Coturnix japonica: one gene and its partners. The protein of the gene in region 2 interacts with the protein of the main gene of each other region in a pairwise test. Links are inferred from orthologs where the notes say so. Each region holds a gene or a part of one and is shown on either strand. Other genes may lie near its edges.

The links.
Region 1: the proteins of DDX17 (region 2) and RBM15 interact in binary tests that used the Homo sapiens proteins (3 or more experiments, as listed by UniProt). The link is inferred for Coturnix japonica from reciprocal best matches to the Homo sapiens genes DDX17 and RBM15.
Region 3: the proteins of DDX17 (region 2) and WBP11 interact in a two-hybrid assay, tested with the Homo sapiens proteins (3 studies listed by BioGRID and IntAct). The link is inferred for Coturnix japonica from reciprocal best matches to the Homo sapiens genes DDX17 and WBP11.

Annotation. Positions count from the first base shown.
Region 1 is NC_029541.1:1,769,694-1,771,983, forward strand, and holds part of RBM15 (RNA-binding protein 15), read left to right. Parts: coding exon 1-216; 3' UTR 217-2,290. UniProt on the Homo sapiens protein: RNA-binding protein that acts as a key regulator of N6-methyladenosine (m6A) methylation of RNAs, thereby regulating different processes, such as hematopoietic cell homeostasis, alternative splicing of mRNAs and X chromosome inactivation mediated by Xist RNA.
Region 2 is NC_029516.1:46,434,318-46,437,972, reverse strand, and holds part of DDX17 (probable ATP-dependent RNA helicase DDX17), read right to left. Parts: intron 3,596-3,655; coding exon 3,423-3,595; intron 3,128-3,422; coding exon 3,017-3,127; intron 2,510-3,016; coding exon 2,448-2,509; intron 2,091-2,447; coding exon 2,031-2,090; intron 1-2,030. UniProt on the Homo sapiens protein: As an RNA helicase, unwinds RNA and alters RNA structures through ATP binding and hydrolysis.
Region 3 is NC_029516.1:43,743,145-43,747,333, reverse strand, and holds the start of WBP11 (WW domain-binding protein 11), read right to left. Parts: upstream 2,845-4,189; 5' UTR 2,724-2,844; intron 1,774-2,723; 5' UTR 1,728-1,773; coding exon 1,664-1,727; intron 803-1,663; coding exon 771-802; intron 280-770; coding exon 186-279; intron 1-185. UniProt on the Homo sapiens protein: Activates pre-mRNA splicing. May inhibit PP1 phosphatase activity.

The DNA of each region.
Region 1 (2,290 bases), on a different chromosome or scaffold from region 2:
CCGCTCAGGAATCTGGTCTCTTATCTAAAGCAAAAGCAGGCTGCTGGGGTGATCAGCCTCCCTGTGGGGGGCAACAAAGACAAGGAGAACAGCGGGGTCCTGCACGCCTTTCCGCCCTGCGACTTCTCCCAGCAGTTCCTGGACTCCACGGCCAAGGCGTTGGCCAAATCAGAGGACGACTATCTGGTCATGATCATCGTCCGTGGGGCATCTTAAAAGCCCTTGTGTGCTCTGTACCCAACCCTGCCTACTCCTCCACACAGCCCCTCCAGCGTGTGCCAGGTGCTATGGGATACAGCCTTAGCCAGCCCAGTCATGATTTTAAATTAGATCTTTGTTTGTAGGTGACTTTCTGTGCCCATTCTTTTTATTTTCTGTTACCGCATTTTTCTATAAGGTTAGAAGCCAGAAAGGTTGGTTAGCCATTAGAGTGAGTAGGATGTGTTGAGAATCCCTCATCTGTGGGGATAGCAGGGAGGCTTGGCCTGCTTTGACTTTAATGACAAAATAAATAGATAAAAAAGAAAAGGAAACAAACAAACAAACAACCCCCACAACAAAAGACTGGGGAAGGGGGTGGGTGGGGATGGGGATGGGGAGGGGGGGGAAGGGAAGAACAAACTCCCATCTTCCTCATTTTGATTCGTGTGTCCTTTTTTCATTTCATGTATTTTTGTTTTTTAAAGCGAGTTGGACAAACTCATCCTTTAAAAGAGTTCTGAACCGAAAAGACCAGATTTAAAGCACTACTAAAGGTAGTTTGAATGGAAAAAACCACATCCCTGCTTGATGCAGACTGGTGTCAGCTGTTCTTTTGGGTCGTGGGAGTTCTGTGATGGCCTCAGTCAGGCCCACATCATCCCTTTCCTCAGGAGCCTGAAGTGTTTCCCTTTGAGTCCTATGGCTCGAGGTTGACGTCCTCCAGGTGACCAGCACCTGCCCTTGGGTACACTGCAGAAAATGAGTTCCTTTCTATTGGGTGTTTGATTCATCCAGCCCCACAGAATGCATGCACTGAAAGTATGCTTTTATTTTTGGGTTGGTTTATTTTTTGTTGTTAAAAAACCAGGTGTATTTCTCCTATTTCGGTTCTGTTGTATCCCATATAATGCACTTTGGGTTTGTAGCAGTGACAATGTTTGGTAAATAGCTGAGGACTTTGTTACAAACCATGAATGTCTCGTGCTTAACTCTGGTATGCAGGAAACAAGGAGGTGCTTTAAGAATCTATTGTGGTTGGTTTTGTTTTTACTGCCTTGATCCAAGAGTTGCAGGTACAGTGGGGTCTGCTTCCACGGTGCGAACTCTGAGCGAGCGTGCTTCTCTCCAGAGATGGTTTTAATTCTGTAATAATTTAATTACCTTAAAGTTCTCATTATCTTTTATACCTCTTTGTTAATAGCAAGGAACTGCTGTCTGCTAGGGACTTTTCAGGTACAGTACAGCGGGCATTACATGAGGTTTATCATTCAATAGGCATCCGGAGGAAGGTGTTATTAGCACCTCCGGGTTGCTGAGATGGGAGGAAACAGTTTGCCTTGGTTTTCCAAAGAACTTTGCTCATTTTCTCATTCATTTTCCCTTCGTTGGGCACTTTCCTCCAGCTGTCACACCTTGTTAATGCAGCATCTATAAGAGGGCGGGAAGGCATCCAAATCCCCATTGTTTTATTTAACAGCTGGAAGGATTTTGTCTCTGGCTTCTAAGCTGAAGGGTGACTCTGTATGAATATACAGGCCCTAAAATGTAATCTTGCACTTAAAACCAGAATGTAGCCTTGCACTTAGCCACATCTTCAGAGACAGGCAATGTAAATGCAGCACTGCTTCTCTCAGTTGTCTTCCATTGGGTTCTTTGGGTGATTGGTGCGGGTTGATCAACTTACACCACACAAAAAACCCCAATTCCAAGCGTGGGGTTGGGTTGCCAGTAAGATATATGAAGGATGAGATGCATTGAATGTATTGTATGAACACAGCAGCTGTCAATGTGACATTGTGTGCTCCAGATCCGCTCTCACAGAGGTGCGTTTCTGTAGGGCTATGGAACAGCTTTCAGAGCGTGTTGGATTTCCCCTTTGTGACCTGAAGGAGCAGTGCTGCATCCCAAGCATCGCTGGGAACTGAGAACTCAGATGTGGCAGCTTATCTTGGAAGCAAAGTTTGGTTTTAGAGACATTTTTTCCTTTCTAAAAGCCTCATTTAATGCTCTTAAGTGTTTGAGGGCGAAACCCGGGCTTCCCGGATTCGTGTCCTTCAATGTGAATGTAATAGATGGCAGAAATCAGCTG
Region 2 (3,655 bases):
AAACTGCCCATCATTTTTTGACAGCTACTTGGGAAACGTGCCCTTCATCAGGCCATCAGAGTACCCTATGGCATGGACAGTCTCCGATTATGGTATTAATCAGAAGGGACAAACTAGCAAACATGCTAGTCCAGAGAGCTGGTTTGACCATCAATGTAGATGTGCCCCCACCCCTGCACTGAGAATGATCTGTAGCTGATATCAAAGTTTCTGTTAAAGAAAACAAAACAAAACAAATTCATTGTTTTTAGTTTAATAGACTGAACAAAAAAAAATAAAAACTAAATTAAAAATGATCAGTGCAGAGAGAGGACCTCACTCCAGGGAATTATCACAAAGAAGTCATTATGGGACTCAGAACTTACCTGGCAGAAGCTTTTTTGAAACCAATGTTCCATTAAGAAGAGGGAAAGCCCTGGTGACTCAGCCAAAAGGCGCGCGCCCCTGTTTTATGTTATTTAGGTAGAAGCCTTCACTTTCCAGGATCTTGGAGGAAGTCGTCCAGAAGTTTGCCAGTTAAGTGACTTATTTTAAGAAGCAGCAAACTCAGGGCCCCAAAACAAGCAGAGATGTTGTTCAGTAACAAGAAACAGACTCTGGTACCTTTCCCCCACAGCTCAGGTGAAGTGGAGGATGGGAACTGGGGAGACTGTTTTCTGAGGTGTTATCCAATTGAGTAGTTTTCAGTGAGTGTTTTTGAGGGCAGGGGGTGAAGCTGTTTTAAATGTCTAGGCAAGATGCACAAAGAAGCTACCAGCACATAGCAAGCCTGTTTAAAAAATGCTGCTGAGAAAGCAGCTCTCTTTCATACAAACTAGTTTCAGGCCTCTGTCCCTTCTCCCAACAGGCCCAAGTTCTAACTGCACAGGTCCAGACATGACCCTAGAGGGCAGAGACTGAAGTCCATATAATCACCTCTCTGAGGAAGTGTTGGATGTTTTTTGAGTGGGGAGGGGAAGGAGGGGTGCAGGTTGTGTGAATAAAGACTGCCACATCTAGTAATGGTCTGCCTGTGTTAAAGTGACCATAAGATGCACAGCACAGCCACCCTTTCAGCATATGAAAAATAGAGTTCAGATAATGGTGACTTCCAATAAACCTGAGACTTTTCTGATGTTATATGCAACAATGAGCAATAACTTTGTCTAAAAGTCACCATTATTTTTTTTAACAAGACACTGACCCTGAGTAGTTATCTTCTGCCACTCAGGGAGGCTGGAATATTCAGTGCATGTTATTCAACTCAGCACTTCAGAAGGCATCCTCCCCTTTTAGAGCAGGCAGATGCATAAGGCCTGTGCCTAGCACAGCGTTTCACAGTACAAGAATGCTCATTTAAGAAGGGGGTGCAACTGATGCATCCAGACAGATTATTTTCATAGTACCAGAATTAAGTGGTGCAATTTTGATTCAGTTACAAGATCGGGCAACACTGTTAATGGCTGTATGTAAGCTCAGTGATCCTGCCTAGAAGGAACACAGAGGAGGGAAATTACATGTAAAAATCAAAAAAATCTATAAAGCAGTGCTTTCTCAGATGTAAACACATCTGCAGGGTAAAGATGTGTAAATGTCAGGGTTTGTATGTTTGAATCTGTGGTGCACTATGCAGGGAGAATATTAGCTATTTGCTGTTGAAATGCTCTCCCACAGCTTCCTACTTGGGCTTTATCTGGCACGCTCTGAACAGAGCAATCCATCCCTATAATCCAGCAACAAAAGCTGGATTTGGGGTAGAAGTGAGTGTGGTGGAAGGGTTGGGTTGCATAATTGGACGTCTCTTCTCCCTCTTGGCGATCGATTAGTCATGCCTAGGCCTTGCTGCAGACCAAAGCCTGTTCATTAGGAGCAGGAAGAGACTTTGAATATGAAAGAAAAAAAAAAGATTAATGTTAAAAAACGTATTTCACATGTGGGGGAAAATCACGCTTTGATTTTTTTTTTTTTTTTAAAAAAAAACAAGAAAACATATTTCAGGCCATAGAAGAAAAATATGCAGCAGTAGGCAAGAGTGGTCTATGTGTACAAACCTAGCCCACGAGATGCAACGTCGGTAGCAATGAGGATAGGAGCCTTTCCAGAGCGAAACTCTGTAAAACAAAGCACACTATGAAGACTTTTCAAAACAAGATAAAGTTATCTGAACTTGACTTACATTAAATGCTCACTTTCTAGAATCTCGGTAATACATATGTCAATTTCAGAACACCCAATGAGTCAGGAAATAACACATCAACTACTTCTCCAAAATCTAGCATTCCAGGTTAAGCTAATTTTCCCACTGCATTTTTGTCAAATACAAACACTGAAATTAACAGTAGAGTCAAGGAACATCCTCTGAAATGTATTTACTGGGTACAAAGACAAAAGAAAGCCTAAGAACATCATGTCTCAATAAGTTACACACAGCAGCCCAAATTATCCCCCCACCTCAGTGATGGACTCACCATTAAGCACCCAATCTCTTTCTGGCTGACTCTTGTCTCCATGGATACACATAGCTGGCCAACTGCCAAACAGAGATGTACATTAGTATAGACAGAAAGTACATATATTAAAGGCAACAGGAAGCTTTACTGGCATTTCAAAAAGAAGGCAGAAAATAAAACATCTGAGAAATATTTTTATTCCTCATCTCCTTCCTTTGGCCTTTACCTACCCAGAACCTACACTTGCACATTAAAACGCGCCTAGAATGTTTCTTGCATATTAAACCCACTAACTATACAGCAGCCATGTAAGCCAAATCGCATTTGCTATATTGATGCTGTTCCTGCCAGTTCATTACATCAGTACCCTGATATATTGAAAGCTGCACAGTTGACAAGTATTCTCTCTTCCATTAATGCTTTGATGGACTGGAATCTTCCAGGAAATTAAGACCGAATTCAGCCAAAAACTAAATGGACAGGTTGTTCCCAACAACAGCATGGCAAATGTTTAAACCTTGCTGCTTTTTATTACGGTTTCTGTTTCTCACTATAAGCAAAGGGTGGTGGGGAGGGGAGTTAATCACCCATCTCTGCGCATCCTTCGAGTGAGATCATCACATCGCCTCTTTGTCTCCACAAAGATGATGGTCTTATTTTCCTTCTCTGCCATGATTTCTTCCATCAGCTGTATCAGTCTAAAACAGACACAAGAGCACTGAGCACATATACAGATCAATAAAGCCAGCACCACTTACACAAAATTTAGGTCTTCTGTACAGTACTATGGTTAGAACATATGCAATATATTAGATAAATACGGTTAGAACATATGCAATAGATTAGATAAATACAGGACTTATTTCTGCCTGGTAACATTCAAAGGTTAAGCAATACCTCAGAGTAAATCCACTATTCAGAATTCATATTCGACAATGCTGATTTTATAATATAGCCTAAACAACCCATAAACACTAGGAAAAACCAACATACTTATGGTCTTTCTCACTCTCCATGCACACATCCACTATCTGCAGGATATTGTGGTTGGCGCTCAGCTCCAAGTTCCCTACGTTGATCTGAACGTAGTCCTGCAGGAAGTCCTCAGCGAGCTGGCGCACTTCTTTGGGCCAGGTGGCACTCCACATTAGAGTCTGCCTGTCAGGCTAAGAGAAAAGGAAAAAGGTTTAAGGTTGTGGACTTTGGATGGGAAGCTGAAGGAGGCT
Region 3 (4,189 bases), about 2.7 Mb from region 2:
AAAAGCAAGCCAAAAACTCAAAAGTTACTCTACTTTACAATTAAAATTAACGAAACAACTTCAAACCAAACCACTTGCAGTTCGTATTTCCAGTAAGTCTGCAATGTTAAGACCAAAAGTCACTAATATAATCATTACTCAGTGTTTGACTACTATCTCCAACACCCAATACCTCCCTTACTCACCCATCTCATCCAATTTTTCCATGTCCCGGATGATCTGCTTTGGGTCTTTCATCTTCAGTACAGCCGCTCGTACCATCATTCGTTGCTTTTTGTTCTAAGAGGATCAAAAATCAAGGAGATCAGAAAAGAGACACAGGAGAAAGAAAAATCTTTGTATCAAATAATTCTTTTTCAACACTCCCAATCTACAGGGGGGAAAAAAAGACATCTCCAGATGCCTTGCAGATATTAACCACAGCACAAATCAGCAGCAGAGATGTTTTGAACTTCTAGGAGCTGCAATTCCACTATCTCACTATTTACAGATGCTTCTATAACTCATACATTCCAATGAAGACACAATCAGTAAAATAAGCCAAAAGGCAAAAGCAACACAATGAATCACACCAACAAATACATAAAGGTCGTTTTGATTCAAATCCAGATTTCTGTGTTTTCTTAACTGCTTGGACAGTATATCCCTAACTAAATTTTACAAGATCAACTGAAACAGTAGTCTATTCACCACTCATGGTCTTTTATAATCACAAATATAACACATAGCACAGGAAATGCCAAGTAAATGCTCCAGATCTCTTTATGTACCTTTTTTAGTTCCCTTTTCCGAGCTTCCTTTCCTAGAGAGAGGGAAGAAAAAAGAAGAGAAAAAAAAAAACAATTTGAAAGAGCGGATCAAACTCACAAACAACTTTTCCTCCATTTTAACAAGTGCTATTTTTTAACAGCTCATTCATTTTTCATATTTCATTAAACAAAAGGAAACTTTAAAACTTATCTTCCTGTTGATAGACAAATACAGCATGAAATAGAAATCTGTTTCATAGGTGTTATATAGAAAGAAAATGCAATACAGAAGTATTTAGGCCTCTAGAAACAGCGATGTTTTTATACAGAAAAGAACAATAGACAAAAAAAGGCACAGTGATGCATGCAATGTAAAAGACTGCCGCTGAGATATAGTGCCAACAAGAAACAATGCCCTTTAAAAATATGCAGGTTTTGAATACACATCTGAAACAAAGCACGCTCACAGCAGAAGCCTGGGCTTTCTGTTTCTGTGTAGCACTGAAAATGCAGTACATTACAAAAAGGAAAACAAGGTCAGACAACTCCCTCCAGTAACCTGAGCCTTGGCAAAATGTGACCATTCCACAAATTCTAGCCTCAGATAGATTACCTACACCTCAAGAAGCAGGACAGCCAACAGTTAAGTATAGAAACTTAACTGTTTCTATAGTTAGAAATTGCCAGTGACAATTAGAGTAAGAATTAAGGGACAAACAGTGTGAAGCAGCAATGGTATGCAAACCAGTAGCTTCTTGGCAAGTTTCTACACCAGCCAAAATGGAGACAGTACTTTTTGGGTTTGGGAAAGTCAGTTCTCAGTCAGAAGTGATGATCTTCCCCTCAGAGGAAGATTTTTATCTGCTTGCCTGGGACTCCCCATTTCCTTTTGCTTAACTTCTATGGGTACTTACGAGCTTGGTCTGTGGGATTCATGAATTTCCCACTCTTGGTGGATGATGTAGATCTCCGCCCCATTTTGACTTTTTTTCTTCTGCTTCAAAATAAAAGAACTGAAAAAGACCTGGAAAAGATAACCATAATTTCAGGTTCTATACATAAGCAGGACTCGTGTGCTTGTTCATCCTCTTTGTAGTAGTAGGTTGACAAACAATCGAACAAAAGAAAACCTCAAATACAGGATTGGAGGATCTCAGAATACAAGTTTGGGCATTCACATCAAAACCATCTTATTTTTACTAAGTATCACTTATAAAGCAGTTGCAAGTAAGCAGTTGAAGTGCATACTTTAAACAAATCAGCTTGTTCTTCACCTCAAGACTTAAACCTGAAAGCTTCTTGCTTTTAGAAAAATAAAATGCGTTATTTTAACTGTTATCGTATCCCTCCATAACATAAGCATGGAAGAGCCTTTCTAGCTTTCCACTTAATGACATAAAACATCTCTATTGCAAATGTTTCCCGTAAATATCCTTCTTTGCCCAGACTTCTAGGATGCCCTTGACTTCTTCCCTACCAACCACCAACTACCCCATCCATCAAAAACCACTCTGTACACATTCTTTTTCTCATCACACACCACTGCCCTTATGCCATCTCAATCTGTTTCAAGCCACATCACAATGATCAGTAAGGAAAGACTATTCTAATGAAGGGTTCTTTCCTGCCTTCGGGCATTTCTTTAACTTACAGCCAACTGCAGAAATACAATCAGAGGCACTGCCTTTCTCAAAGAGAATAACGTTCTCAAACCTCGATCCCAAATTCTTTTAGGGTAAAAAGGAGGGTCCACACAAGATAATCGCTGTAGGAGGAGGAGAAAATCAAGCACCCCAACGAGTGCTTTGTGAGCACTGGGAAGCGAGGCAGAAAGTCTCCCATCGAAGTACACGAAGGCCTCCCCTCCTCCCTCGAGGGATGCTGGGGGAAAGGAAGAAGGCGGCCGCGCCAACCGCCTTCCACCCCCCGCTTTCTTTCCCTTCCCCCAGCCCAGCCCCATCCCTTTCCTCTCACCACTCGGCCCGGTGGGGCAAGGCGGGGCGGGGGTGGCTCAGCTCCCTCCCACCGCCGCCGCGGCCTCTACCACCACCGCGCTGCCCGCCGCTGCCGCGCCGCCATCTTGAACCGGGACGGAGTAGCGCGCCGCTGTAAAGCACGAGCGCCGTAAAGCACGATTGTCGTAAAGCACGAGTGCGGCCCAGTGCCTCTCAGAGCAGCTTTGAGATCTATGATCCCGTTGCCGTTCTGGTACGCGCGGAGGCTGCCGGGATGGCGGCGGATTGTGGGGATTGGGAAATAAAGCCTTGAAAAATCTGCATTGTTGTGAGACTTTTTCACTGTTTAATGGACTCTGAGAGAAATAAATGGATTTAATTTAAATCCTATGGTAGAAAGAAGCAGGGTAAAGATGATTTTGCTGACAGCTTCAGCAGCCAAATGAGGCCATTGGTTGCTTAGCAATGGAGTTCTGCTTATTTTGGAGCATGTGTATTATACAGATTTAATTCTTCATTCTGTGCCCACACGTTGAGCAGGGAGGGAATACATGAGTGGTGTGATGGGAGCACCTCCACCGTGTGCATCAAACACATGCCGTGCCTGCTCCTCACACAGGTTGGGTCCCTCCCTGTGGCGACAGGACCCGAGGGAATGGCCACAAGTTGTATCAGATGAGGTTTAGACTGGACATAAGAAGGAATTTTTTCTCTCAGAGAGTGGTCAGGCACTGGAATGGCTGCCCAGGGAGGTGGTGGAGTCGCCATCTCTGGCAGCGTTCAAGAGGCATCTGAACAGGGAGAGCTAGGAGATATGGTTTCATGGTTTTCTGTAGGTATGGTAAAGGGAGGACGGTTGGACTAGATGATCTTATAGGTCCTTTCCAACCTTGTGATTCTATGAATACTGGGCTCAGGGCAATGCGTTACCATGGTGGCCACAACTGCTTTCTCTCATGAACATCTACTGACTATTAGAAAAGTCTAATAACAACTGTCAGTGAAATCAGCAAGTCCCACGGATATTTTTTCTTCATGGAGTTGTGGAAAGGAAGGCGTTGGGTTATTTTAACCTCAGAACTGCCTCGTGGGGCTGGGAGGTGCTATGCACCACTATGAGGTCAGCTCCCTGGGGTTCTGACCAGGCTTCTGTGGGCTCACAGCCTTCTCTGCCCCTTAAGCTGTAGGAAAGGCTCCGGCCTGCTGGGCTCCAGCAACTTCAGCATCTTATGGACATGAGGACATCTCAGGCACCTGGTTTTGCATGGAAGACATCCTTCCACTAGGCCCAGCAGGACCAAGAATCAATCAAAAGGTGAATAGAAACTGTATTTTTAGGTTATTCATTTTGTGCCCTGCTTCCAATGGCACTGCTTAGAATTTGCTTTCAAGAAAATGTGGGTAAGCTCCCTGAAAAGTAAATAGATTTGCTTCTGTTTAACTCTGCTTTTCTCCTACAGCAGTGACTGACAATCTCATAAAGGT